4 linked regions of the Arabidopsis thaliana genome follow. The protein of the gene in region 4 interacts with the protein of the main gene of each other region in a pairwise test. Each region holds a gene or a part of one and is shown on either strand. Other genes may lie near its edges.

What was found.
Region 1: the proteins of IAA11 (region 4) and NPH4 interact in a two-hybrid assay, tested with the Arabidopsis thaliana proteins (2 studies listed by BioGRID).
Region 2: the proteins of IAA11 (region 4) and HMG interact in binary tests that used the Arabidopsis thaliana proteins (3 or more experiments, as listed by UniProt).
Region 3: the proteins of IAA11 (region 4) and DRIP2 interact in binary tests that used the Arabidopsis thaliana proteins (3 or more experiments, as listed by UniProt).

What each region holds. Positions count from the first base shown.
Region 1 is NC_003076.8:7,016,109-7,023,953, forward strand, and holds NPH4 (Transcriptional factor B3 family protein / auxin-responsive factor AUX/IAA-like protein), read right to left. Parts: upstream 6,006-7,845; 5' UTR 5,397-6,005; coding exon 5,351-5,396; intron 5,031-5,350; coding exon 4,918-5,030; intron 4,818-4,917; coding exon 4,722-4,817; intron 4,618-4,721; coding exon 4,561-4,617; intron 4,473-4,560; coding exon 4,317-4,472; intron 4,230-4,316; coding exon 4,145-4,229; intron 4,054-4,144; coding exon 3,963-4,053; intron 3,881-3,962; coding exon 3,713-3,880; intron 3,622-3,712; coding exon 3,426-3,621; intron 3,328-3,425; coding exon 3,189-3,327; intron 3,112-3,188; coding exon 1,133-3,111; intron 1,055-1,132; coding exon 864-1,054; intron 777-863; coding exon 596-776; 3' UTR 362-595; downstream 1-361. Other genes in the region: CPN20 (chaperonin 20), read left to right, coding at 73-246. UniProt on the Arabidopsis thaliana protein: Auxin response factors (ARFs) are transcriptional factors that bind specifically to the DNA sequence 5'-TGTCTC-3' found in the auxin-responsive promoter elements (AuxREs).
Region 2 is NC_003074.8:10,783,095-10,789,229, reverse strand, and holds HMG (high mobility group), read right to left. Parts: upstream 4,343-6,135; 5' UTR 4,277-4,342; coding exon 4,223-4,276; intron 3,937-4,222; coding exon 3,751-3,936; intron 3,675-3,750; coding exon 3,569-3,674; intron 3,479-3,568; coding exon 3,342-3,478; intron 3,264-3,341; coding exon 3,180-3,263; intron 3,099-3,179; coding exon 3,004-3,098; intron 2,917-3,003; coding exon 2,808-2,916; intron 2,673-2,807; coding exon 2,586-2,672; intron 2,488-2,585; coding exon 2,395-2,487; intron 2,316-2,394; coding exon 2,118-2,315; intron 2,031-2,117; coding exon 1,885-2,030; intron 1,795-1,884; coding exon 1,647-1,794; intron 1,567-1,646; coding exon 1,459-1,566; intron 1,378-1,458; coding exon 1,195-1,377; intron 1,037-1,194; coding exon 958-1,036; intron 860-957; coding exon 732-859; 3' UTR 501-731; downstream 1-500. Other genes in the region: CYP81D11 (Cytochrome P450 superfamily protein), read left to right, coding at 1-466; AT3G28720 (uncharacterized protein), read right to left, coding at 4,891-6,135. UniProt on the Arabidopsis thaliana protein: Component of the FACT complex, a general chromatin factor that acts to reorganize nucleosomes. The FACT complex is involved in multiple processes that require DNA as a template such as mRNA elongation, DNA replication and DNA repair.
Region 3 is NC_003071.7:13,024,223-13,031,167, reverse strand, and holds DRIP2 (DREB2A-interacting protein 2), read right to left. Parts: upstream 5,258-6,945; 5' UTR 4,725-5,257; coding exon 4,607-4,724; intron 3,188-4,606; coding exon 3,088-3,187; intron 2,664-3,087; coding exon 2,336-2,663; intron 2,191-2,335; coding exon 1,778-2,190; intron 1,673-1,777; coding exon 1,622-1,672; coding exon of another isoform or gene 1,618-1,621; exon of another isoform or gene 1,330-1,617; coding exon 1,257-1,329; intron 985-1,256; coding exon 805-984; 3' UTR 507-804; downstream 1-506. UniProt on the Arabidopsis thaliana protein: E3 ubiquitin-protein ligase that acts as a negative regulator of the response to water stress. Mediates ubiquitination and subsequent proteasomal degradation of the drought-induced transcriptional activator DREB2A. Functionally redundant with DRIP1.
Region 4 is NC_003075.7:14,140,360-14,144,470, reverse strand, and holds IAA11 (indole-3-acetic acid inducible 11), read right to left. Parts: upstream 2,337-4,111; 5' UTR 2,184-2,336; coding exon 1,924-2,183; intron 1,470-1,923; coding exon 1,201-1,469; intron 1,109-1,200; coding exon 976-1,108; intron 885-975; coding exon 823-884; coding exon of another isoform or gene 794-822; exon of another isoform or gene 733-793; coding exon of another isoform or gene 728-732; coding exon 543-727; 3' UTR 502-542; downstream 1-501. Other genes in the region: AT4G28650 (Leucine-rich repeat transmembrane protein kinase family protein), read left to right, coding at 1-316; ABCB23 (ABC transporter of the mitochondrion 1), read left to right, coding at 3,576-4,111. UniProt on the Arabidopsis thaliana protein: Aux/IAA proteins are short-lived transcriptional factors that function as repressors of early auxin response genes at low auxin concentrations.

The sequences.
Region 1 (7,845 bases), on a different chromosome or scaffold from region 4:
AGTAGCTTGATGTGATAGTCAGTTCATACACAAGTTCCAATTATACATATTCTCCTCTTCATTTTATGGCAGGTGATAGCAGTTGGACCGGGTTCCCTAGACGAGGAAGGTAAAATTACGCCTCTACCAGTATCAACCGGAAGCACAGTACTTTACTCCAAGTATGCTGGTAACGACTTCAAGGGCAAAGATGGTTCCAACTACATTGCCCTCAGAGCTTCAGATGTGATGGCTATACTTTCTTAGTTATGTTATATCTTTGTAATCTGCAACTTGTATCCCAATTGTGGAAATTTTTTCCGTAAACGGCCTGAGCATAATCTGGAATAAAGACTTGAGTTTGAAAATGTGATTTTATTGCTGATTTCATGTTTTTCCTTCTCTTTTTGGTTACAAGCGGTTTCAGTTGATCAGTTAAACTTGGTAGAAACAGTGACTCACAGCAAATAAAATCTCCGTGTAAACTTAGTGGAAGATATTTTACAGGTAAATGCTCTACAGTGCCCAGTGGAAACTTGAGACATGTTATCAACGAGAAGTTATATTACAAAACGAAGAAAAAAGAATCTTTGTCTGTGAGAGAACTCTTCTGCCATCACCGGTTAAACGAAGTGGCTGAGTTATCATCATAATGACCTCTCCAAGCATTGCCACTGTCACCGCCACTACAAGCTTGATTAGTAACTGGTACACCGGCAAAGTTCCCGTCTAAGCTCATCTGCTGAACCTCAGCTGATGAAAGGATCTTAATGCTCTGAACACAGTTTACGAATTCTCTGCAAAAATCACGATTTTAAAGGTTAGCAAAAAAATAATGGAACTTCTAACAGTCTGATGTGTGAATGTAATTGCTCTCTACTTACTCCCATGGATCATCGCCGACGAGGAGGATGTCATTTTCATGATCGACATAAACAAGTTTCCAGTCAGATGTTTGAGGATCTTCGAGCTGTCCTTCGATCCCAAACATGCGCGCTAGATCATGCCTCAGCTCATCGTAACCTCTGTAACGGTTGACGTCTATTGATCTCCCCACTGAGCCTCGTTTTTGCACCTGTAGGAAAATTTAACATTTGTCAAACCGAAAACATAACCCAAATATCAACAAGCATAGATCAGAGCACAATCGAACCTTTGTATAAGTTCGCATTCGCTGAGTCTGAGCTGGCCACAATCCACCACCAAGAACTCCAGCATCGTTGACAGCTAGATCGTTCGAAATGGCGGGCACATTGGGGACACCAAAAGATTGAGTTCTTACAGCTGAAGTAGACATCTCTGTACCAATGTCATTTGTCACTCCTCCATAGTTTGAAAGCATGTTCTGAAGATCTTTCTGGGAGTCATATCCCCTCGAGAGTAGCGTGTCAGGCACAAAGCCATTATCAACATTAGCTCCACCGAGCAAGCTGTTCCTGGAATCACCGTCAAGGCCAAAAGTTGGAGCCAAGAAATTTTGTTGTCTGTTGTTTTCGCCTCCATCTAAACCGTAAGAAGTTCCAGAGGCAGATGCTTCTAGTTGATGATCTGTTAAACTAGCTTTGGACTTTTGCTGACCCACGAGTTCTTGTTTTAGCCGCATATCGGATTTGCTGTAAAGATCCTGAACAAGATTACCAGACATATCAATCGCTGCATCAGGTATCAAGATCGCTGGCCCGCTTTGGCTTCTGTTGAGAAAGCCTGAAGAAGAGATCTGACAGTTGTTGGTGGAAGGCGACGTTGAAGAGGAAGGTGCATCTCCTCCATCTGTGATGCCTGAATAAGCTTTGACCCCTCCCCCAACCGGTGGGTTTTGTTTTTCCTGAGGTCGGCTCACCAGCATTTGAGGTGGTTGCAACGTCGATAAGCCATTGTTAGTGCAAGATGACGGAAACTGATGACCTTGAGAGAGAGTAGGCAGCTGTTGCAACTGCTGGCTTTGCAATTGATGGTGTGGTAACTGAGACTGCGGCGAAAGAAATTGCTGCTGCTGTTGCTGTTGTAATCTCTGTAACAGCTGAAACTGTATATGCGGCTGTTCCAAGAGACTCTGCTGGAATATCTGTTGGGCCTGTGCCTGGTGAGCTTTCTGCTGCAAAAGTGTTTGCTGATTCTGCCCGTTGAGACCAGGAGGCTGCTGCTGTTCTACTTGTCGTGAAAACTGTGTCTCTTGCGGCGGTGCGGACATCAGATTGGATGAAGACTTGCTGGTTTCAATTACACTACTCTGGCTAGTGCTAGCACCTAAATGGTGATGTGCTTGTTGAAGTTGCTTAGACTGTTGTTGTTGCTGTTGAAAGCTTTGATTAAGGGAGCTGGACGGAGGCGTGATGACACTGCTTGCCATTGATCCCGAAACTAATTGTGGTTGCAAATGATGTGTAGATGCTTGTTGCGACTGATGCTGCTGCGCTGCTTGTTGACCATTGTAAAGCTGATTCTGTGGAACCTGAAGTTGCTGCAACTTATGTTGTTGTAACTGTTGTGGCTGTGGATGCGAGTGAGATTGCAATGGCTGTGTTCTTAGCTGCTGCTGCTGAGTCTGTTGCTGTAACGGTTGTTGATGTTGTTGCTGCAGTTGTTGTTGTTGTTGCTGCTGGAGCAATTGTTGTTGTTGCTGAGACTGCGATTGATTGTTGTTGCTGTGTTGTTGAGACTGCAATTGTTGTTGCTGCTGCAGCAACTGTTGTTGTTGTTGCTGTTGTTGAGACTGCGATTGCTGTTGTTGATGGTTCAAAGAGGAGTGCAACAATTGCTGCAGCTGCTGTTGTTGGGACAACGTAGTTGGTGGCTGAGGCAACTGAGACATTGGGGCTTGCTGATTCTGTTTGTTAAATTGGAGATTTGAGGAGGAAATCCCCCCGTGCGGCGTCTGAAAGCTCAGTAACTTGGAGGGATCATCAGTGCCGCCAAGATTGTTGTGCAGCGCCGCGGTTGGCGAAAGCATTGATGGGAAGAAACCTGGCTGTGCAGCAGCAGAGGGTAGCTGGCCGTTCTGCTGCTGCATATTCATCCACTGAACTAAACTCAGACCAGGAAAGATAGTACTCGAAGGGTCTTTCATCTCTAAGCTATTATCAAGCCATGGCATTGCTCTCTTCAGTGCAGACTCCATGTCAGTCTCATCATCTGCAAGAGCACCGGAAATTCCGTCCTTGAGGAGATTCAAAGAAGTTGTGTCGAAATGAAATGGTACAAAAATTTACCTGGCATTCCAGGTTGTCCAGAAAAGCGAGGTCGGAAAAATGGAGGAGGACATATGTAGAAAGGAGTTAAAACCGGTTCAATGTCCCAAACTGAAACTCGACTGGGCCTATCACCAGCAGCTGACTCATCCCATCCAATCTTTAGCAGAAACAGAAACAAAGCATAACTAAAATGAATGGTGCAATGTATCAAGAAAGACAAATCTGACATTCATCATGAGTTTTACTTCAAACTACCTGAAGATTCCGCCACTGAGAGTTTTTCCATCTCACTGGATCAAGATCACTGATACCGGTAACTGTACCCATATACCGACGAACTCCACATTCTTCAGTCTCAAATATCATTCTAAACCGCATACCGAGGGAAACTTGAGCGTACATCGCTTTGGTATACTTGGCTAAAGGAACCACAAACTCAGCAGGAGCAGCCCTGAAAAAACTCGGTTGTAAATCTCTCAGCAATTGCCATGAAACAAGCATATATAGTAAGGTTAACGTAGACAAAAGGAAACATAGATCGCCACCTCGGGTTGTAGAAAATGGTGAAAGGACTGTTATTAGCATTAGCATGAGCTGCAGCTGCAAGAACTCCGATGTGCATGCTATCACTTGATATTACAGATGAAGAAAGTGCAGGCTGTTGTCTATTTGCACGTCTTATCCCCAACAGAAGTTGCGCCTTTCCATCTCTTAATTGAAAGAAAAAAAGAATTAGCATCTTGACAAAAAAAAATACCGAAAGAGAGCATTGGCACATTGAGATTGATATACCTTATAAAAAGAACAGAGTCTCCAGCAAAGAGCCTTTTCGTGCTGACAAACACACTCCAGCCTGTAGTTAGCAAGTGCCTTTTTGGTTGACCTGATAAATGTCAACATATCCAAAACGTAAGAACAATTCTACGAAAGCCAAATTGATTAAAGAAGGTAATCTACCAAAAACAAGGTAAAACCTCGATAAATATGTCTGAAAGTCCATGTGTTGTCATGAATATCCTTAGCAACAAGCTCCTGACAAGGTGGTTGCATCGAGAAATCCTAGTAAAATATTGCCAACAATGTAAGAAACTAAGGCAATACAGAGATACTAACTATCAGATGTATAAGAAAGTATTGTATATACACCAGAGCAGGAAAGATTTTCTCAGCAGCTCGTCGGGGTACAGAAAATCCACCGTGAGTACTTGTGTCACTCGCCGTGAGGGTTTTGCAGAAAAATTCATTAGGTTGTCTGTTTAGCTTAAGACCCATGTCAGAAGCAAGCAATGCATCTCTGTCATACTGTTCAACAAAATGCTCAGAGCAATTAGTCCCTCCCTACTCCTTAAATACACCTATAAATCGAGTTATTCAGTGAAAGGTAAGCTACTTTGTTTACTGGCTGAAGAGTCATCTGCGCATAGACCTCATCCGTCTCAGGATCAGCCTGGTTCACAGTCGACAATTAGCAAAACATTAGCAACTCAAAAGCAAAAAATGTTAAAACAACTAGCCTAAGAGGCCATTATAGATATTTAAAAGATACCATACATTCAGTGTAACATTGTGGAGCATGCATATGAGCTTGGAAGGAAGATTCGGGTAACTTGGTATGAAATCAGTCTGCTTCTGCATTGAAGCCGCGACCTAAGAAACAGAAAAATAAATAGCAACCACATGAAATTTCCAATCAGCGACTCATTCTTGATCAGCCGCGAATGATACCAAACTTTATTGAACAACATACTTGCTCACTGTGACCTTGAGGGAAGTAAACAACAAGACTTCCTGCTGGAGGCAACGAAATCAATGGCCCAGCACAAGCGTGCCATAGCTCTGAGTTTATATTTCTCCTTTCTCCTGCATTCACACAACATCAAAGCTGTGATTACTTAAAATCTCTAGGATCTTCATTCAGTTACTATTATCAAACCAACAAGATAGGAGAGAACTGCTCTAAACCAACTAAAAGCCACAGTCTTTATAAACCAATACAATAGTAACTTAGCTTACTCTCTAAGCAGAAAATGACCGAAACCAATTCAATTCAGGTTCTCAAATCCAGCAATTCTGAAGAAATGTGTGACCTCTTCTACTTAAAACTTGAATCTATTCAAATCCAGCAATGAATTTCTTCTACTAAAGGATTGACATTTATCAGATACGAGAAACACACAAACCTTCAACAGGATTAGGAGAAACTCCATTTGATGAAGGAGCTTTCATGATCACTCAACTTTACTTTCTCTGAAGAATAAACCCAATAAATAATCTGAATCTGAGCTTATACAAAGCTAAGCTCTTTGCGTGAGAGCTTCATCAAAAGCCCTAAACTTTCACTCAAGTTGTTAATAGCTTCCTAGCTCAAGTAACAGCAGAGAGAATCGTTAATCAGAAATGGGGAACTCCAAGATCTCAGCTTTTTATCTCCGACAGAGCCGCCAATTTCTCGGAAATTTTAAGTATCTCAAAGAGATCAAAAACCACGACTTTTCACACGCGGAATCTCCGGAGAGACAAACAAAGCATACGACCTTAAAAAAGATTCCGTTTTTAACGAAGCTCTTTATCTCGAGTCAGATAATTCAAAAACACCCACAAAGTTACTTGATTCAGCTGCTCTTCTTTGTTTTGCTTTCCTTTCTTGGGGGGAATCAAATCAAAGAGACGGGTTTCTATAAAAAGAAATCTGGAAAATGAATCGAAAGAGAAAAACAAAACTTAAGGATGACCAAGGACAATCGAAGATTAAGACTCAAACGTGAGAGAAAGAGCAACAGAGTTGTCGGAAAGGGATGATCAGCGACCAGGACAACTACCAAAAGGTCTGCTAAAGCACAGGAACAGCTTTTTCTTCTTCCTCTCCTTTTTTTTTCCTTCTCTTTTCTTTTTCCGATATTTTTATTTTTTTATACCTATTTAGTTATGCTCATGAAGCCGACATATTCACTAGCAAACTGGCCACGATTTAATTTCTTAATGTTATTATTGTCCTCTAAAATTTTAACTTTGACACACAAAAAAACAACTTTATTAGTGTTTTCTTTTTCCTTATCTCTGATAATTTGATAAGTTTTTTTCATTAAGGTTATTATTACTGTATCATTTATTGTAATACTTGATTAGGGATAACATAGATTTATAGGGGATGTATTGAAAAAAACAAACTAAGCTGACTAGCTAGTTATTTGATCAAAGTGCGTACATATATGTTTGGCAATTTCTTTTGTAGTTAACTATATTTAATTCAGATAGATTTTAGGATTCATAATTCATCAAAAAATTTTATGATTTTCATTATTTTGAACAAAAGCATTTTACTAGAAATTTTGTGGAGTTTTACATGGTTGGTTCTGAGTTTCATAAACTAGCGTTCATGTTTTAAACGAGAATGGAACTTAAATGTTTAGTAATGAGTTCTATAATAACAAACAAATCTAAATTCGCTTAGATCATCATTATAAACAATTGATCTTATTTTGTTGTAAATGTTGATTAATTGATCAAATCTAAGTACATACAGCATATGCGATCACAAAGAACAATATTTTAACGGACGATTTCATATCAAAAATGATAGAAGTTCTCTCTTTGTTCATGATTCTTTATTGGTTTCTTATATTAATTAACCTAAACTTTTGTCTTTTGGAAGAAGTGTTATAATGTCACACAAAATAAAATTACATATGATGATCACAACTTACACTCTTTTCCCAGTACAGCCATCATTCAAAATTTTCCTCTATAATCGTTAAAATGTCTACCCAAAAAAAAACGGTGATATATATTCCTAAACATATTGGAAAACCGAATATAACCATAAATATGTCATTGTACAAACTACAATCTATTTGGTTTAAGGCCACATAACAAGTTTTATCTACCAAAGACTGAACCTCCATATTCATCACAGACCATTGTAAAATGCATGTAAACCCTTTGAATGACCCCACATCAAAAAAGAAAGTTACAAAACAGTAACCTCTTTGTTAGTTTAGGTTCGATCCAAAACTTATTTGGCAGGAATGCTTAAAATTCTATATACTTACAACTTTAAGTGAAGGTAATATATATGTATGGAATGAATGGATGTCAATTCAAATAAGTGGCAGTGAGTAGCGACATGATGTCCCTGAGCAATAAATGCGTGAAGACAGAAGTTTGGAGATTGGATGAATGTAAGAAGGCCTTTTGAAGTTATGGATTTCGACGCCTAGCTTTTTTTTTTCTTTTTTTTTTGTGAAACTTTGAGGCCTAGCTAACGTTTAAAAAAAGAAAAAGAAAAATGTTAATAGTTTTCTTATTACAAAGTGACCGAAATTTAGTATGAACTCCGAACTACGACTTCATGCATGTATTAAAGTTGGAATGAAAGGAAGAAGAGCGTGACGCATTTCAGAACCGGTTGTGTGTCCGTATGGTGTCCGCAGTGGAAAGTGGAAAATGAACAAGATGAATAACTCATATACTGTCCTAAAGATATTTCCAGAATCACATCAACGTATTTTAGCCGATTTAATGAATTCGACAGTTGGTGTTGACAATATATGTAAATGTAACCACAAAATACACCACTTGAGTTGGATGAATTATCAGAGAGAGACGAGGAAGTTTCGTTACGATTCCATGATTTTCTCGACTTTACTATGTCATTCTGATATGCATTATTTGTTAA
Region 2 (6,135 bases), on a different chromosome or scaffold from region 4:
ACTTCCTTACCTTCAGCACATTGTGTCAGAGACTTTACGGCTTTATCCGGTGGCTCCAATGCTTTTACCCCACTTAGCATCAGAAGATTGTATAGTTGATGGCTATGACGTTCCACGCGGCACAATCATCTTGGTGAATGCATGGGCCATCCATAGAGATCCAAAGTTATGGGAAGAGCCAGAAAAATTTAAGCCGGAGAGGTTTGAGAAAAAAGGAGAGGATAAAAAGTTGATGCCATTTGGGATTGGACGACGATCTTGCCCTGGTTCAGGGCTAGCTCAACGGCTAGTGACTTTGGCTCTTGGATCATTGGTCCAATGTTTTGAGTGGGAGAGGGTTGAAGAAAAGTATCTAGACATGAGAGAAAGTGAAAAAGGAACCACAATGCGAAAAGCTACATCGTTGCAAGCTATGTGTAAAGCTCGTCCCATTGTCCATAAGGTTTTAGATGCTTCTTGTCCATAACTTTCATCATACAGAACCTCTTGTATAACAATTTCGATAGAAACACGATCTGTTTTGTTGCTTCTTAGCTATGGCCTTACCAGAGTACTCTATATTTTGAGGTAAAGACAGGCTCTTCTTTTCTAGGAAGTAACACAAGATCTTTAAGGTCAAAGAGAAAAATCTGGTTAACTCCAAACAACTAAAGGTCCAACGTTTACTACATGCCATAACTTAGTATTGTAGGTAAATGAGATACTAGTAGAGAATGTTGGAGAATCAAAGTTTAGTTACTATCGGAATCGTTTCCTGAGTCCACATTCATCGGCTGAGGGTTCTTGTAATCACTGATCTCATCCTTGTATCGCTGCTTGTCGACTTGAGCCTTGGCTTCATATGGCTCTTTATCATCAGCTATACATACACACGGTTGGGGAATTAAAACACATTCACATGATAAAGTAAAACCAAGTAATGTATTTACTTTTGAAAAGGATCTTCAAATTTTTTACCAGACATTTGACGCCACTTATCTCCAAGCACCTTTCCCACCTCTCCAAATGCTATTCCTGGGTGTTCCTTCTTTATGTTCTGTTCAGTTCACAAATGGAAAATGACATAATCAGGAATGTGCTAAGTTTGTCTGTTAATTGTTTGCTCTCATGTATGTAATAGACCGAGGATACTCCATTTCGCAACTTAGCCTACATCATAGAGGTAAAAGTAAAAGAAAGGAGAGAAGAACTCACATCTCTTTCCATTTGGGAAAAGAACATGAAACCAGACATTGCTCTTTTTGGTGCGTTGGGATCCTTCTTCTTCTTCGGCTTCTTCCTCTTACTACTGCCTTCGTCTGCGGCTACAGTTTTCCTCTTAGGAGGCAATCCTTTCGATGACGAAGCCTCTTTCTTAGGTTCCTTCTTGATAGATTTCTATAACAAGTCAATGACAGGAAGATATGAGAAACAAATACTGCTGCTGAAAGAGTTCGAATGAATGCGACAAAAGTTTACCTCTTTTATCTCTCCTACACCGCCTTCACTAGCATCAGAGTCGTCCCCGCCAGAATCATCAGTTGGTGAACCACCATCATCATCCTCACCCATAACAAAGTCTTCGTCCTTCATAAATTAAAAGTCTCGATTATCAAACACATGATCATTAGAATATGAAGTAATTCGGTCAGACATAAAGTACTTGCCTCCTCATCACTCTCATCAGCAGCTTGGTTTCTGATACGCGTAAGATGAGGGTCAACAGCATCATCATCATCATTATCCCCAAGAACAGCAGCAACACCGTCTGCGGTACCCGCACCTCCAAGGTTCATAATCTTCAAACCCTTAGAGCTGCAGCAAGAAAACATAAGGAATATTCACCACAAATCTTAAATGCACTCAGTAAATATAGACGGAGACAATGAAATAATCCGCGCTAACCTTATGAAGGTATAGAGATTGTGATACTCATTTCTTTGAATGTTACGGAACAGATGTTCATGGTCAGTTTTCAGTCTTATGAGAAGATCAAAGTAATGCATGTTAGCACCACCAGCAGCATGCCTTTCAAACTCGACATAGTCAATCTAAAAACGAAAAAAAAACAGGTTAGAAAACCCAACTCTATCTCAAAGCCTATAAAAAATCTCCAATCCTTAATAACCATAATTTACCTCATCGTGAAGTATAAGCGTTGGAGGTTTAGGTAAGAAGAAAAATCCCTTCTCGAGTGGATAAAGAACCCCATCTTCTGCCTTGAGAGACGATTTCACTGCAAACCCATCTTGGGAACTGCGGAACTTCCCAGGTTTAGTGATCTTTGCACCAGACAGCCAACGCAACACGGTGGTGAATACTTCATGAATGAGACCCTGAAAATTCATACAATTCAGCGTATGTATAAATTTTTTTATTCAGGAACAATAATGTAAGTGCAGACCAGACAGAAACCTTATATGATCGCTCCAGCTTGTCCTTGAACTTTGTATTCATAAGTTCATCACTAATTGACAGTTCACTTTCGACAACGGTGTCTGTTTCAAACTGGAGAAGATGCAAAAACAGTTATGTAAATCAGAGTAAAAAAACGAAAATTATACATAGAAAATTGAAATGGAAGGAAAAATGTAAGTAATGTTTACCTGCATAACAATGTGGGGGTACATTGTCTGACCTTTCCGGATTGGTGGGTCTAGAGAGATAACAACAAACGTGTGTGGTTGGTTTGACTGCTCAGGCATATAAAAAAAAATACGAACTCAATTAATGTGAACACGATTCAGTGATCATAATACGATAATCCCTTTAATCTGATGACTGCTAACATAGGTAACTGCCCTGAGATATGCTTAAAAAAGAATTACCTTTGGAAGCAAGAACAAACGGACAACGCTACTGTACTGGATTTTAAAGTCATTAGCTTGTCCTTGCAATCGTAAGAAAGAAAGGTGAAGTTCCACATTGTACCGACCCCTGTGATAGAAACAACCAAATCATTTAGTCATGACAAGATGAAGCCATACAATAGTGCAACAAATGTTTAAGTAATCAACTCTTTACCTGGGTGTGAGGATTGCAATACTCTCAAATGTGACGACCGCATCCTCAACTCCAGGACTAACATCAGCCATTGCAACGATTGTGTCATTGAAAACCTGAGACATTCTTTTAGCATCAACAGAAAAAAATATATACTTGAGGCACATACATATAATGAAAATAGTTTGGGAACTCACTTGAGAAGGTGGACGGTTTTCATCACCAACAAACTGAGTGTTGGAATTAGGAATATGAAAACTAATCTCCATCAGCGAGTCTTTCTGTAAACACGTAGAATATAAATCAGTAAATGTACATACATAACAGCCTAGAGATTACATATCAAAAGAAACCAGTACCTCATTAGCACCAGCAGTATCATCAACATGAAACTCCAAAGTAACATCATTTTTCCCTTGAAGCTGAGTCTGTGAAACATCAGCTAAAGATACTTCAAAAGCTTGTTTTGATCCAACCAAAAAGGTTAGTGTATTCCCTACACAAAGAAACAAAAAATTCTCCCTTTAGATCCACAAATGAAACTAGACAACCACAAGTAAAGCCTAAAAGCTATAAGAACTCTCACCGTGTAAATCCACCTCTCCCCAATTACGACCACTAACTGATAATTGCTTCTCATCCGGTGTTTTTCCATAAGAACTTTGGAAAAAGCTAGACAGACTTGGAACATCCTACAAAACAAAGGAATCAGAACAAGCACAAACATTACAATATCAAATCAAATAAAAAAGATATACACACACAAACCTGATCTCGAAATCCAACGAACTTGTAGTACAATCCATCTTTGGTTTTGACTCCCAATTGATTACTCTTTGTCACTTTCGTCCAACTAACACTTACAATATCAGATCTATCAACTTCCACAGCTTTTCCACCACCTTGTTTCTTCCATTGAATTCCTCCAGAATTGATTTTAAGTAAACCCGGGTTCTAAAAAACCAAAATTGAAACCCTAATTAGCCTTAAGAAAACCCTAAAAACTACCGCAGCTTTAACAATTGTAAACAAGAAAACAACACAACTGAAAAATGAAAGCGACAATCTTTTTTTTAACCCTAAATTTGACTCATTGAGTTCTTTAAGAATCGAGCGGCGGAAGCAAAAGGGGATACAGAGAAAGGAGATTAGGGTTTTCGAAGGAAGAGGAAAAGGTGAAAACTTTGAAGGAATTGAAAGATCTTGAGAGATAGAAGGAGACAGAGAGAGAAGATGGTACCTTTCCACCGCGACCGCTGAGAGAGATATTATTGAAGGAGTGGCCGTCCGCCATGGTTTTCTGTTGAGAGACACGAGAGAGACGAGAAAGCGAGAGCGAAAGAGAGAGAGTGATTTTTTTTTTTCCAAACTATGATATCAACTTTTATACATAGACACTCAGGCGGTTTAATTTTGGGAAGAAAACCAATTTTCGAAAATTAGATTTTCCGGTTTAATTGAATTTTTGAGTTTTTGGTTTTGCAGATTTGGGAAAAAGACCTTTATCAAAAAACGGTAAAAACAGAAGGTTGTTTTGAGTTTTGGATTTTTTCACATTTGGAAAAGAAACCTCTTATAAAACAGAATTTTATATCAATTATGTAGGCATGCGGGTTCGGTTTACCAAACCGGTTACTTCGGTTTTGTTTGGCTTTGGTTAGGAGGGGAAAACCGGTCTAAGGGTATGGAGAAGTGATTATTGAAGGAGACAATAGGAATGTGATGGAGCTATTCAAAATAAATAGACAACCAAACAGAGGATCCGAGCATTGTCTCTATTGTTCAACATTACCAAATGGAAACAAGCTCATAATAGTAGTACATGTTGTATTAACCTCAAAAACCAAACTATCAAAGTCTTTTTATCCAATGTAATGACTATAAATTACCCTGCATTGCTAGAATTCTTCAGAACTGTTTTCGTTTGTTCCTAAAGAGTCTATCTCTTTTCGAGAACACGTAACCAACAGCCATTAACCCGAATCCCGACACTGAAACAGTTCCCCATGGGAACGGTGGATCTTTGAAACAGTTGAGACTCGCTTCTACCCGTTGTGACGCGAGGTACACTACTGAATGCACTGAGTACAAGTCGTGTGAAGCTGATCTTAAGTAGAACAAAGCCATCTCGAACTCATTGTGTGATAGAGCAGAAACCGTTTTATCCAGCTTGTACTGCATAAGATTCCACCTTTGCATGAACTCAGAGTGGCGATTCTGTTTCCGTAGGATCACATCTCCTCCATATGCAACCGCGGAATCGATAACATCGATTGCACTTGTGATAGTTGTGTTCAAAGATGTCAAAATCACGTTTCTCTTAGCAGCATCTTTCTGAACAAACGATAGAGACGAGATATCAGAGAATGGTCCAAACGGTGTTTGCCCAATGCTCCATGTATAATCAACTAGAGTTGTGTTATGTCTCGGGCTCCATGTCAAATGAGTAGAAGATACACCCCACATACTCTGCAGAATGGAACCAACGAGAGGTCGTTCTAAGTCTCTCGTATGAACAAACACATGACGCCCGTTGCAAGTATAATCACTAACCGTTTGAGTTCCTCTAGTTCTAACAGCAATCACCATATCTCTAAAAGCAACAGACTGATGATACCGATCAAGCAACAAAGGCGTATTGATATCCAAATCAAACACATAAACAGGTAAAACCCTAGCAAACTCATTTCCTTCTTCTTCAACAATCCCCGCAACTCTCCTCAACTCCTCAGCCGAATCAGTCAACGCCCGATGCATATGCTTAGAATCCAAATACTCACTCACAATCAAAGTATAGTTATCAAACAAAAACCTAGAAGTATACGAATTCATCCCACGAGATACCGCAAACGAACAAATCGAACATTCTCTATAATTCACACTATAACTCTTAAAACTCAACTTCTGTTCACCTAACAACAACCCACCACTCTCAGCTTCATCCATAAACGTTCTCTTCACAAACTCCAAATCTAACCCACTCGAATCCTTAACCTCTGACCCATACACATGAATAAACTGAACCACCAACGTATCCTCAAAGTACACAGGGATTCTCAAAGAAGGAACAATCAAAACCTGATAAGCATTATACACCAACGAAGCCAAATCCGCAAGTAAAGCTTTTTCTGATTTAGGACGACCATGTAAAGC
Region 3 (6,945 bases), on a different chromosome or scaffold from region 4:
TCAAGACAGTAAGAGAAACATTGTTACGTCAAGTAGTCAAGTACGTTTGTTCTAGTATCGTATGTTGTGGGGGAATTAGCCTTGTCGAATCTAATTCACATATTATTTTTGTGGAAATTTGACTAATGGATAGTTTATCCGTCCATAAAACAATGACCCAAAATCCAAATTTGGTTGAAGTAAATCTCTATAAATACCACGTGAATTTAACTATGTTTTGTGTGCAAATTTTTTTATTTCCCAACAGTTTAGAAATATCTAGAAACAAATGCAAAAAGACAACCAAATTTCTTCAAAATTATGTTTTAAAAAAAGAAATAAGAAAATTCATCTTTAATTTTGCATTTTGTATTAAAAATTGTTAGAAAACTTTTTTTTTTGGTGAACAAAATTGTTAGAAAACTTTTATACATCTCTCTTTAATTCTTGTATTAAAGGTACACTTCACAAGTTTTTTTTTGGTTATTTTTCTTTTGACTTCTCAATAATGGCTAAGTCATTCGATTCACAAGGATTCCGTGTACTTCTCCATTTAGTCCAAACAAGGAAACAAATATTTATAGAAATGACAACATTATCCTAATCATACATTCAAATATCCAAAAAGGACACAATCTCCTTTAAAAAGCCATTTTTGAATCTTCTTGGATAAACAAACAAAGTGTCTGTCTCACACCAATGTTTCAAATTTTAAGATTACAATTAAATAAATATAAATTGCTAAGTTTCTTTCTACACAAGACATTCCACTGCTCCTGCACTTTTCTTTCTTCTCGGTCTAGAAAAGATTCAATGAATAGCTCTTTAGTTGTTGCATTCAGGGAGCTTCCGAGAATAAACTAGCACCATTACAAATTCCTTTGCAGATGAACCTATTGACGCAGCGACTCTTTGATGCTTAGAAGTTGTTTCCAACCATAGGTCTACTAAGCTGTGAAGCTGCAACGTTGGGATCACTGGTTCTCCCATACATGTTATCTCTACCTGTTTACAAAAAAAAAACATAGAGTAGTTAAGGTTCAACACCGGTGGGTCGAAAAAGTCCCAGATCATAAGATATCACCCGGTACACAAGTCGGAAATAAAAGGGAGAGTTAACTTTAGTTTAAACATTTATGGGGACCTTACAGTCATATTGATAAGCACAAGACTTGAACCAATGTATAGAACTACGGTCTATGTGATTCCATATTAGACCGAGTGGATACCTCATATAAAACAGAAAAGTAGCCACTGCATAAGATAAGATTGCTTACCTCATCTTCACTCTTGAGATCAAGCTTCCTCATGAGGTACTTTTGGATAAAAGAAACTGGAATATTTCCATCCCTACCATATAATGAGACAGGGGATCAACTCTGGCACAATATAATTCTCCCAAACAAGAAAATAGACACCTCCCAGTCAAGGATTAGGTGTGATGGGCCAAAAAAGAAGAAGGCTTTATCAAGAAACGTATACCACAGAAAACAAACATGACATGGAAACTCGGGTAAAACAACTGCGAAATCGAATTCAAAGCCATCAATGCAATAATAAGTAATATTTGATCACAGACTTCACAGTTGACATATAAAAACTTAGTGACAAGAAACAGAGCAAAGCAAAAAGAACAACTTACCTTATTCTCAAGTAGTTTGCTGGAATCTGAGGCAATGATGCTTCTCCTTCCCTGAAACCAGTAAAGCCGTGTCACTAAGAGATAGAAATGAAAAGACACAGAAAATATTGAATATCAGAAGTACTCAGAGTCTCAGATACAGAACAGGAATCTCACTGATTACTTGACGCTACAAGTGAGAACCAAACATGACCGTTTCTCCTCTCCTGTTTTAGGCTTGCTGCACCTGGTAACAGTGGAATTCTAGAATCACCAAAAGTAGATGACCTTTTGCGACGAGTCCGACGCGTTCGTTTAAGTGTAGCAGTTTCTGATGTTGTAGGATCACCGTTATTGCTGATCTCTTCCTCGAGTTTACACTTTCTTTTATGATCCTTTGTTTTGGTTTTACTCCCCTGAACATCATTGTGGGATGCGTTTCCAAGCTCAGATTTTGGGTCCTTTGTTCCGTTTGCCACATCCACAAGAAAATTTAGAGGTTTCCAAAGATGTAATTTGGAATCCCATGGTTCATCAACATCCTTGTTTCTTCGATTAGAGAGGGACTGGTTAGGATTTGCATATGAAGACTGCAAAAAAAGAATTAATAAATAAATAAATGTATGGGGAACTATATAAAGACCATAATCAGTCATAACGTTGTGTTTGGACTTGGTAAAGAGAAAAAGTAAAACATAAAGGTAAAGAGAGAACTGCAATGATCACCTTCTTTACCTGTCTTTTATTCTGAGTAAACTTTTTAAGTGTTTCAGGCGAGCTTGCGCTCTCTACATGATCATCTCCAAATTCTTCTTCCTTCTTCACTGTTCTCTTAGTGAATGAACCACTACCTCTTACATCTTTTCTCGTAGCAGCTTTTGTTCTTTTTCCTGTTGTACCAGCTTGTGCTGAAACCCTGGGTGTGCTTACCACCAAAGACGAGATAGACCTCTCCTTCCTCTTTGCAGGTAATGAGATGGAGGACACAACTTCAGGCGCTCTCTCCTTTTTACGTTTTAGAGGAAATAATTTGGCTCTCAAGTCTTGCAAAATGTGGTCAGGCCTAAAATAAATACATAAGAGTGGTTCTTTAGAAAATGAATAAGTTCGCCACCAACAAAGCTCTTACTGGTGACCAACTAGTAAGAGAGAGTGTAGTACTAAAGAGATTTGTTTCAGGTTCTAACAAAAAATTGTTGGTGTCAGCGAAAGTATTAAACTAGCCAACATATTCAGGTCATAACTGCTTCTGAATCGAAATGACTTTTCTTGATTAACTTCACACTATGCCACAAAAATTACGGAAGAACCTTCCATATGTGGCACACCTCAGCATAATCATGTACAACTTTTCAGCATTATGTAAGAAAACTTCGTTTCATCAACAGTAAGAGCCAAAAGGCTTCTAACAGTCTATACAAGGAATCACTGCTAAACCAAGACCGAGGAGAAAATTGTGTAAGGAATAAAGAAGAAGAAGAACTTACCTTAGTTTCTCCAGTGGGGTACCCCCGAGGTCAATATCGCATACTGGACAGCTCTCTATCTCATCCTCTGTGATTTTCTCATAAATGCATTTCCTACAAACTGCATAAAAGTGATATAAGAACTTGTTTCATTTCAATAGATAGTAACTATCAAGTAAGAACAAAATCTTTTGTAATAAAGGCGACCAACTTACATAAAAACAAACAATTTCTCAGATCAAAAGTTTAAGTAAAGAATGAATAGCATAATGTTTGAGGTTCAATGCAAGTTGGCTCGCTGCCAAGTTTGAATTTATTAGATGCAAGTTAGATTATCGGACTCCTTCCACCAAATCCATTATAGCAAGGCCGATAATTGGTATGGTCTCTACTGCATCAAGTTATATTAGTTGTCATGGCAGAAGCTTGTAGACAAGTGGTTAATGAGCATCATACTGTTTGGTTTTAAAATCAAGAAAATCCATAGCTACCAACCTAAACAAAAGAGATGGAATCACAAATTTGATGGGGATACTGCATTCATCCCCAGAAACAAAACCGTGAAGCATTTAACACCTAATTTTGGCACTGCAGTAACTCAAAAAGAGATTCTGCAGGGCGTTCTGAAAATTTTATTAAATTGAGATAAGCAGTTGGTCAGTTGTACAACGGAACCGAACTGTTAACATTTACCTTTTTAAAATCAGATGGAATGAGTAAAATAATTACAGAGTAACAAGGTATATTTCTCCGTAAACGGTAACAAAGAATTGGTTGTGTAAAGCTTGGAATGGTAGATTGATTTAGACTCCAAAAGGAATATAAACTAAATTTGAATAAATTACAGAGATCAGCAAATACTTCAACATGCAGAAAACTCACTACTAATCTGGATTGTATGTTAAAAGAAATAAATTAAGCCATTCCAAACAGAAAATGATCTAAACTGTCTTAATTGTATAATATCATGTAGAAGAAAGAGGCTGATAAATGCTACTTAATCCAAATATTAACTTACATTAAACCGATGAGAGTAGATTAAAGCACTTGTTACTCGAACTTCCTAACACAAAACTTACAAGTTGGATATAACAAAGCAACTGAATCTAACTAACAACATGATTAGCCAAAACCAAATTTGGACGTCATGAGTTTGACCAAACCATCTTTGACGAAGAAGAAGACACTCACAAATTTTACCTAAAGAGACGAATAAAGGAGGATTCTTGCAGTCTAAATGTAAACAAAGATTACAAATTCTGCTCAACAACAACTATTACTTTAGTTGAGAAAACCAAACAAAACTATTCATTGACTCGAGTTTCATCAAATCGACTGAGACATAGAGGAGATCATAAGTGGCATACGAGACTAACAACAAGAATCATGCAGATATTCAATCCAAATCAGCAAGAGGAAGAAAAAAAAAACACAACAGAGAACCAATCAAAGAAGACGATAAAGACGAGAAATTGCGAAAATTAGAAACCGGGTAAAATCGAATCGAAACGTAAATCGAGAAGGGGAAAGAGGAACTAACACGTGTGAAGACACTCTGAAATGGTAGTGGCGTCACGGAGGAGTTTGTCACAGAGAGGACAAGTCATGCATGCCACCACCGTTTCTCTCTTCACTTTAGCCACCATGTCTCCTTCCATTGCTCTCTTAACGACTCCTTTAAATCCTTGATGTCTATCTAAACGAGGATTGATCGATGAATCGCACGTACTATCCCCAAAACTGCATGTAGAAGAAAAACAACGACCCACCAAAAAAAAGAACCCAGATTTACGTTAAACAACAACTCTCGTGCGAGATACCTACATTCAAATCCAAATCCGATGGAGACTCAAGACCGAATATATCCGTAAAGGGTCGAAGAAAATCAGAGTGAAAGAAGTCTCAATCGGAAGAAATAGAGTGATGAAGAAGAGTCGACGAGGTTGAAGAAGGGAGAATCTGGGGATAAAAATGGAGAGAGATTCGAAGGAATAGGGTGAGTATAAAACAGAGGAGGAGACGATCTGAATCGAGGAAGAAGGTGAAGGTGAAGAAGAAGAAGGAAGGGGTCTCTCTAATAAAGAGGCAAGAGGGGTCTTCGTGTTGAGGAGAAAGAAGAGAAGCGAGCGATACCGTAAAGAGTAAAAGACGTTCCTTTCTTTACTCTGTTTTTATTTATTTCCCAATTGTGTAAATGGGCTTTTCCGAGGCGAAACAATGGTTTAGGGCTGCAAAGTCCACCACCGATTTAACCCTCTCTCCTTTTTTACTGATATTGCGTGATTTTAATCTTTTTATTTTTGTTTATTGACATCATTAGGAAAATTACTTGGAAATAAACAAGATGAAGAGGTGAGTCAATTAATTAATAAAACTTAAGAAATGAAGAATTAAAAAATGAAGAGGAGGAATCAATTACACTTGACAGAGAGTATGCTTCTCAATGATTGAATTTTTGGTTCTAAATATATATGTACAAAAGGGAATTACGAGAAAATAGCATCAAAGTAACCGGAAACAATCATAAATATTATAACTGTTAATAAAAATTAAAACCCTTTAAATAAATAAAATTTGAAAATAAAATATTTATATATATATATATATTGTTTATTATTTCTTTTTAAAATTAACGAGTTTAAAGATGTCTATATTTAACTCAATAATTTTTCGTTAATGAACTCTAATAAATAAGTAAAATCTATATGTCCATATGTTATCTCAAGTAAATTTTATCTAATTTATAACTTGGATGTCAAATTCATAATGGATATTTTGAAACATTTTTCCGAAAAGTTGTAAAAATGGCATAAGCTGAAAAAATCGAATACATCTTATCACTTCGCGATCAATTGGAAGGTCACATATCTCTCGCAAGAGCCAACAGTTTTTATGAAAGATCGACAAGTAGATAATTTAATAGTCCATAAAACTTCTAAAATTCAAAGCTAGCTGAAGTAAAAGTGTAAAACCTTATTAATACCTCAATATTGCTTCCTTTTGCAATTATAATTTAACTGTTTCTAAATGTAGAAAAGCATGTACTAACAAACACTACACTGATTCCAATACTAAATATTGGTAAATTGTTAAATCTTTTTGAGTATATACTTTTCTTATATATCAATCTAACATTTTAGTATCCAAAATTAGTATGAAATTTTAATGGTTCTTGCTAATAAATTTTATTTGTTAGGCAAAAATGAATCACAACATAATACATGTTTAGTTAATAGGTATGTATCGAGTTTCTACTTTATGAATCAAAATAATTCACATCATCACTAAGCGACAAAAGAATTTACATATTTCGTCACAGTATGCAAGACGAATCGTACGTTACTTTTAAAACAGTAGAAATACATTTTTATGCCAACTCGTCAAGTACGTTTGTTATAGTAACGTATGTTAGAAGAACTAACCGTTTTTATTTTATTTTAGGAATTATCCGTATTGAATCTAATTTATGCGTTATTCGGTAAAAAAACGACAAGTAGATAATTTATTCGTCCATAAAACAATGACTATTTTTTTTTTGTAAATAACATTCAACACCCCATAATAGAGAGATCAATCAAATATAAACTCATCCAGGGGTTAAAAATTTCAATTCCCAAATTCGACCTCAAACATTCCAGTTGTTCCTCCAAACTCCAAAGTACAAAGCTGTGAATTTCCCACTCTTGAAAATCATTGACAGTACATTCTATCAACGTGTCAAAACATCTATGGTGGCTTGGGAGAATTTCCACTAAGCCAATCAAAAGAAGTCAAATCTTAGTAAACTAGTAATTTTGCTAGCACATGTACACCGCGCCGCACTATATCTGTATCTCAACATTAATCCTCTCCGTATAAAAATCAAATAAATACATTGAT
Region 4 (4,111 bases):
GTTTGGAGAATCAGTAGACATTGTGGAGTGGGTGAGAAGGAAGATAAGAGACAACATATCACTAGAAGAAGCATTAGATCCTAACGTAGGAAACTGCAGATATGTGCAAGAAGAGATGCTTTTAGTTCTACAGATTGCTCTTCTCTGCACTACAAAGCTCCCGAAAGACAGACCTTCGATGAGAGATGTGATATCGATGCTCGGAGAGGCTAAACCGAGGAGGAAAAGTAATAGTAATGAAGAGAACACTAGTCGTAGCTTGGCCGAGAAACATTCATCGGTTTTTAGTACTTCACCTGTAAATGGCCTTCTTTAGTATGAGATTTAAGAATCAAAAGAGGCCGATAAACTGATTCGTTCGATTCGTGTTCTGTATGTAGAAGAAAGAGAGAAAGAGAGAGAGATATGTATCTTTTGATTTAATTTTTCCATGTAGAATAAGTTTCCTTTGTTTTACATGATCATATTAACTTTGTGCATTGCTCTGAACCGTTTTGTTTTTGTGCAAGAAAGGGTTTTCTTATAGATTTTTAAAGTGTGATTTACAAAGAGAACATATAACTAACTAAAAGAAAAATGGCAGAGCCAAAAAAGAAACTGTAAAGGGGAGAGAAGAAGAAGAAGCTTCTTACAATGTTTTTGTCTTCTCTTTGATCTGTGATCTGTCTTATTACTGCTTCAAACATAAAGGGTTCTTCGTAGATTATTATTTGCTTCATAATATCATCTGAGCTGTAAACAAGGATCACACAAACACGGTCACAACGACAAAACAATGATTTTAATACAGATATCAGGATTTGATCGAATCAGTAAATGTACCTTTACCAGTAGCCTCCGATGTTTTCATTATCCGGAGCCTTCTCACTGAACCAATAAACATCCTAGACACAAGTAAAACTCAGGTTCAAACTTCAGAATTTGACGCTTACACGGGACAAAGCATCAAAAGCATAAGAACATATGTATGCATACCCCCACGGAACATCGCCAACAAGCATCCAATCTCCTTCCTTGTCTTCATACGTTAGTACTAATCCGGAAGACCCATCTGGTAGTATCTTGACCGGTGTTTCCATGTGACCATCGGTTTCTAGTGTGCGTGAACCTGATTAAAGAAAGAATCATAACTTCATTTCCCATACCAAGAACCAACTTCAAAGGAACCAAAAAAAAGGCCATGAGATTCGAAAAGCACACCTAATTTAGGTTTCAGAAACATTTCCTCTAGAGTGTTTGACAATGATTCATAGCATTTATGAGCATTCAGATCGATTTTCCTTCCAATAGGAATGCCATCCATAGTCACCTTAACAAACATGGAATTTCTCATCTTTGTTGAATCACTTCTATTCTTGTTTACGGCTTGACTTATCTCCAAGTTCGGATCTTCAGTGGCTGAAGCCTTAGCTTGGTTAACCATACTGTTCATTCTGTAAGTCCTTATTGGTGGCCATCCCACAACTTGCCTGCCATTTTCAAAGGTTTCAAATTGCTCAAATAAGAGTAAACACATAAAAAGGGTTATAAACACTTCAGGGCCTTGTAAAATCAGATACCAAGAGAATCACTATACAGGATTAATCACTTTCTCTCCAAAGCTAATAAATACTTTAGAATCCAAGAAGAAAAAAACTGTCATCTCTAGAAAACGATAGTAAGATTCAATTTGAAGATATAATGACCAAAGCAAACTATCTAATGATCAGGAAGATACATTCAAAGTCATCTATACGTAACAAAGGTCGAATCTTTTCAGATAACTGTGATCAAGGACATTCTGTCTAATCAATCCCATAACCATAAAAAGCAAAAATCAAATCTTTATTTATAGTTCTATTGATAATCATGATATTAAGAATCCCCAAATAAACCATAATTGATCAAAATGTAAAAGAGGAAAGGGAAGAGAATTTCACTCACCCACTAGTTGCAGCCATGGAATCAGCTGTCCTCTTGATCCCAGCAATTACGCTAGCTCTGCTCAGAGAAGAAGATGATGAAGAAGAAGAAGAATCATCAGCGTAAACCCTACAATCTCGATACCCTTTGCGACCAAGGCTCAACGTAAGACCAAGCTCAAGCTCATTCCCTATAGGAGAAGAAGAATCCTCACAAGAAACGACGAGATTTTCATCGTTTGACAAAGCCGAAGCCGATCCACTAGCGGAACCGCCTTCCATTTTCGACAAAACCAGAAGCTGAGAATTAAGATTTTGATTGTGAGGGAAGGGAGGAAAAAGAGATGGGTTGAATTTGAAGCAAAGATTGAGACTTTAAGTAAGGCAGAAACAGTGAGAAAGAAAAAGGGAAACAAAGGATGAACAAGAAGACACGACGGGTGGGATTTGTCTCTTTTTCACTTCCCTAACTTTTAGTCTTATTTCTCGCCCAATTTTATCATTTTTTTGATCCAATAATAAATTTCTCACATTATTCCGTGACTATATTTACTAGAAACTCTTTTTTTTTCCTTCTTTTAACAATATCCACTTATGTAAGTTTTTAAAATAAAATATGTGGACTTTTGGTATAATTATTTCAATTTTTCGTAAGTTTATATAGGGAAGTTTTACAATTATGCGAAATTCCGTTGTAATATATTTATAAACTTATAATCAATTAACGATAGGATTAGATGCCAAAAAATATAATGGACAACATGATTTTTCAAAATGTATATTATTGTATTAATGTTCAGATTTTTGTAGTTGGTATTTGACTCCAAAATCTGATATAAGATCGGATAGATTTCAAAGAAAATTTGATATCAAAACGGTAGTATCCGTGGTATTAATAAAAACATTTTTAAAAGGCTGGAAAATAAAATAAAAACAAAATTCATACAAATATATATTTTCAAGAAGTGGGGGCTCACATGTCAGCTTCATGGGATTCAATCGGACGGCTAGAAAAAGATTACTTAGAAGGCTTAGTGGGACCCACGTGTACAGAGAGGGGGGACTCGTGCCCACACGTCCTTTGGTCCATCCATCTTTCCAAATCGGACGGTGCTGATTAGTTCCGGTTTAAAGCTATTGATAGTTAGATACCATCACTATATAGGTTTAATTAGTATTTTAAAATCAAGTGGCAATCTAATCTTTAATCACGTAATTAAAATTGAATTTTTAAGGCAATAAAGGAGTTTAGCTGTCCATTTTTAGTGGTGTCCGAATAAAAACCCTGTCGTCTGGAGGGAAGACATAACCGACCGTTGCTTCTTTTCACTTTCCAAATAAACCGTTCAATTTTTTAATTAATTGCATATAGTAGAAGAGTTGAATTTTCGAAAGAGTCCATGTGAGAGAATGAATACTCTGAGATTCGCTGCGGTGTGTACCACCGTATCTGATTCTCTCAAGCCCAGTTGCAATCAAACCAGTACCGGTTATCTCCGAGATAGCTAATTTCATTATCTTAATAAAAACAGAAAACCAAAACCGGTTATTTCCGAGTTGATATCTTCTTCCTCGTCTTCTTGTTAAGCTACTCTGTAGTACAGAGAGAACAAAACAGAGAATTAAAGAATCGATTTAGACCAAATTGTATGTGATTCGTTCGGACAAGAAGCGATGATGAGGGGATCTCGGTTTCTCCTCTCTCGCGCTTCTCTGTATCACCGTCTTCGCTCTGATCATCACCATCACAGTTTCTCCAGTTTTATCAAACGTAGCTCAATTCAGAGATCACCAGCTATCAATGCATTCTTCACCGATCCATCTCCATCTCCATCTCCAGTCAACGCACGAGTCTTCTTCTTCTCAACTTCAACTTCAACTCCAAATCAAGATCAAACCAAAACAGCATCATCTAAGAAGATCCTCCGCACGATTTCAAGCTATCTATGGATGAAAGACAACCCAGAACTCCGATTCAGAGTCATCGCTGCTTTAGCGTGTCTCATAGGAGCTAAGTTCTTGAATGTTCAAGTTCCTTTCCTCTTCAAATTATCTATCGATTTACTCTCTTCATATTCATCTTCAACAATCACTGATTCAAATCCTTATCTACTTGCTGCTTTCGCTACTCCTTCTTCCGTTCTCATTGGCTATGGCATTGCTCGATCTGGATCTTCAGCTTTTAACGAGCTTCGTACTGCTGTTTTCTC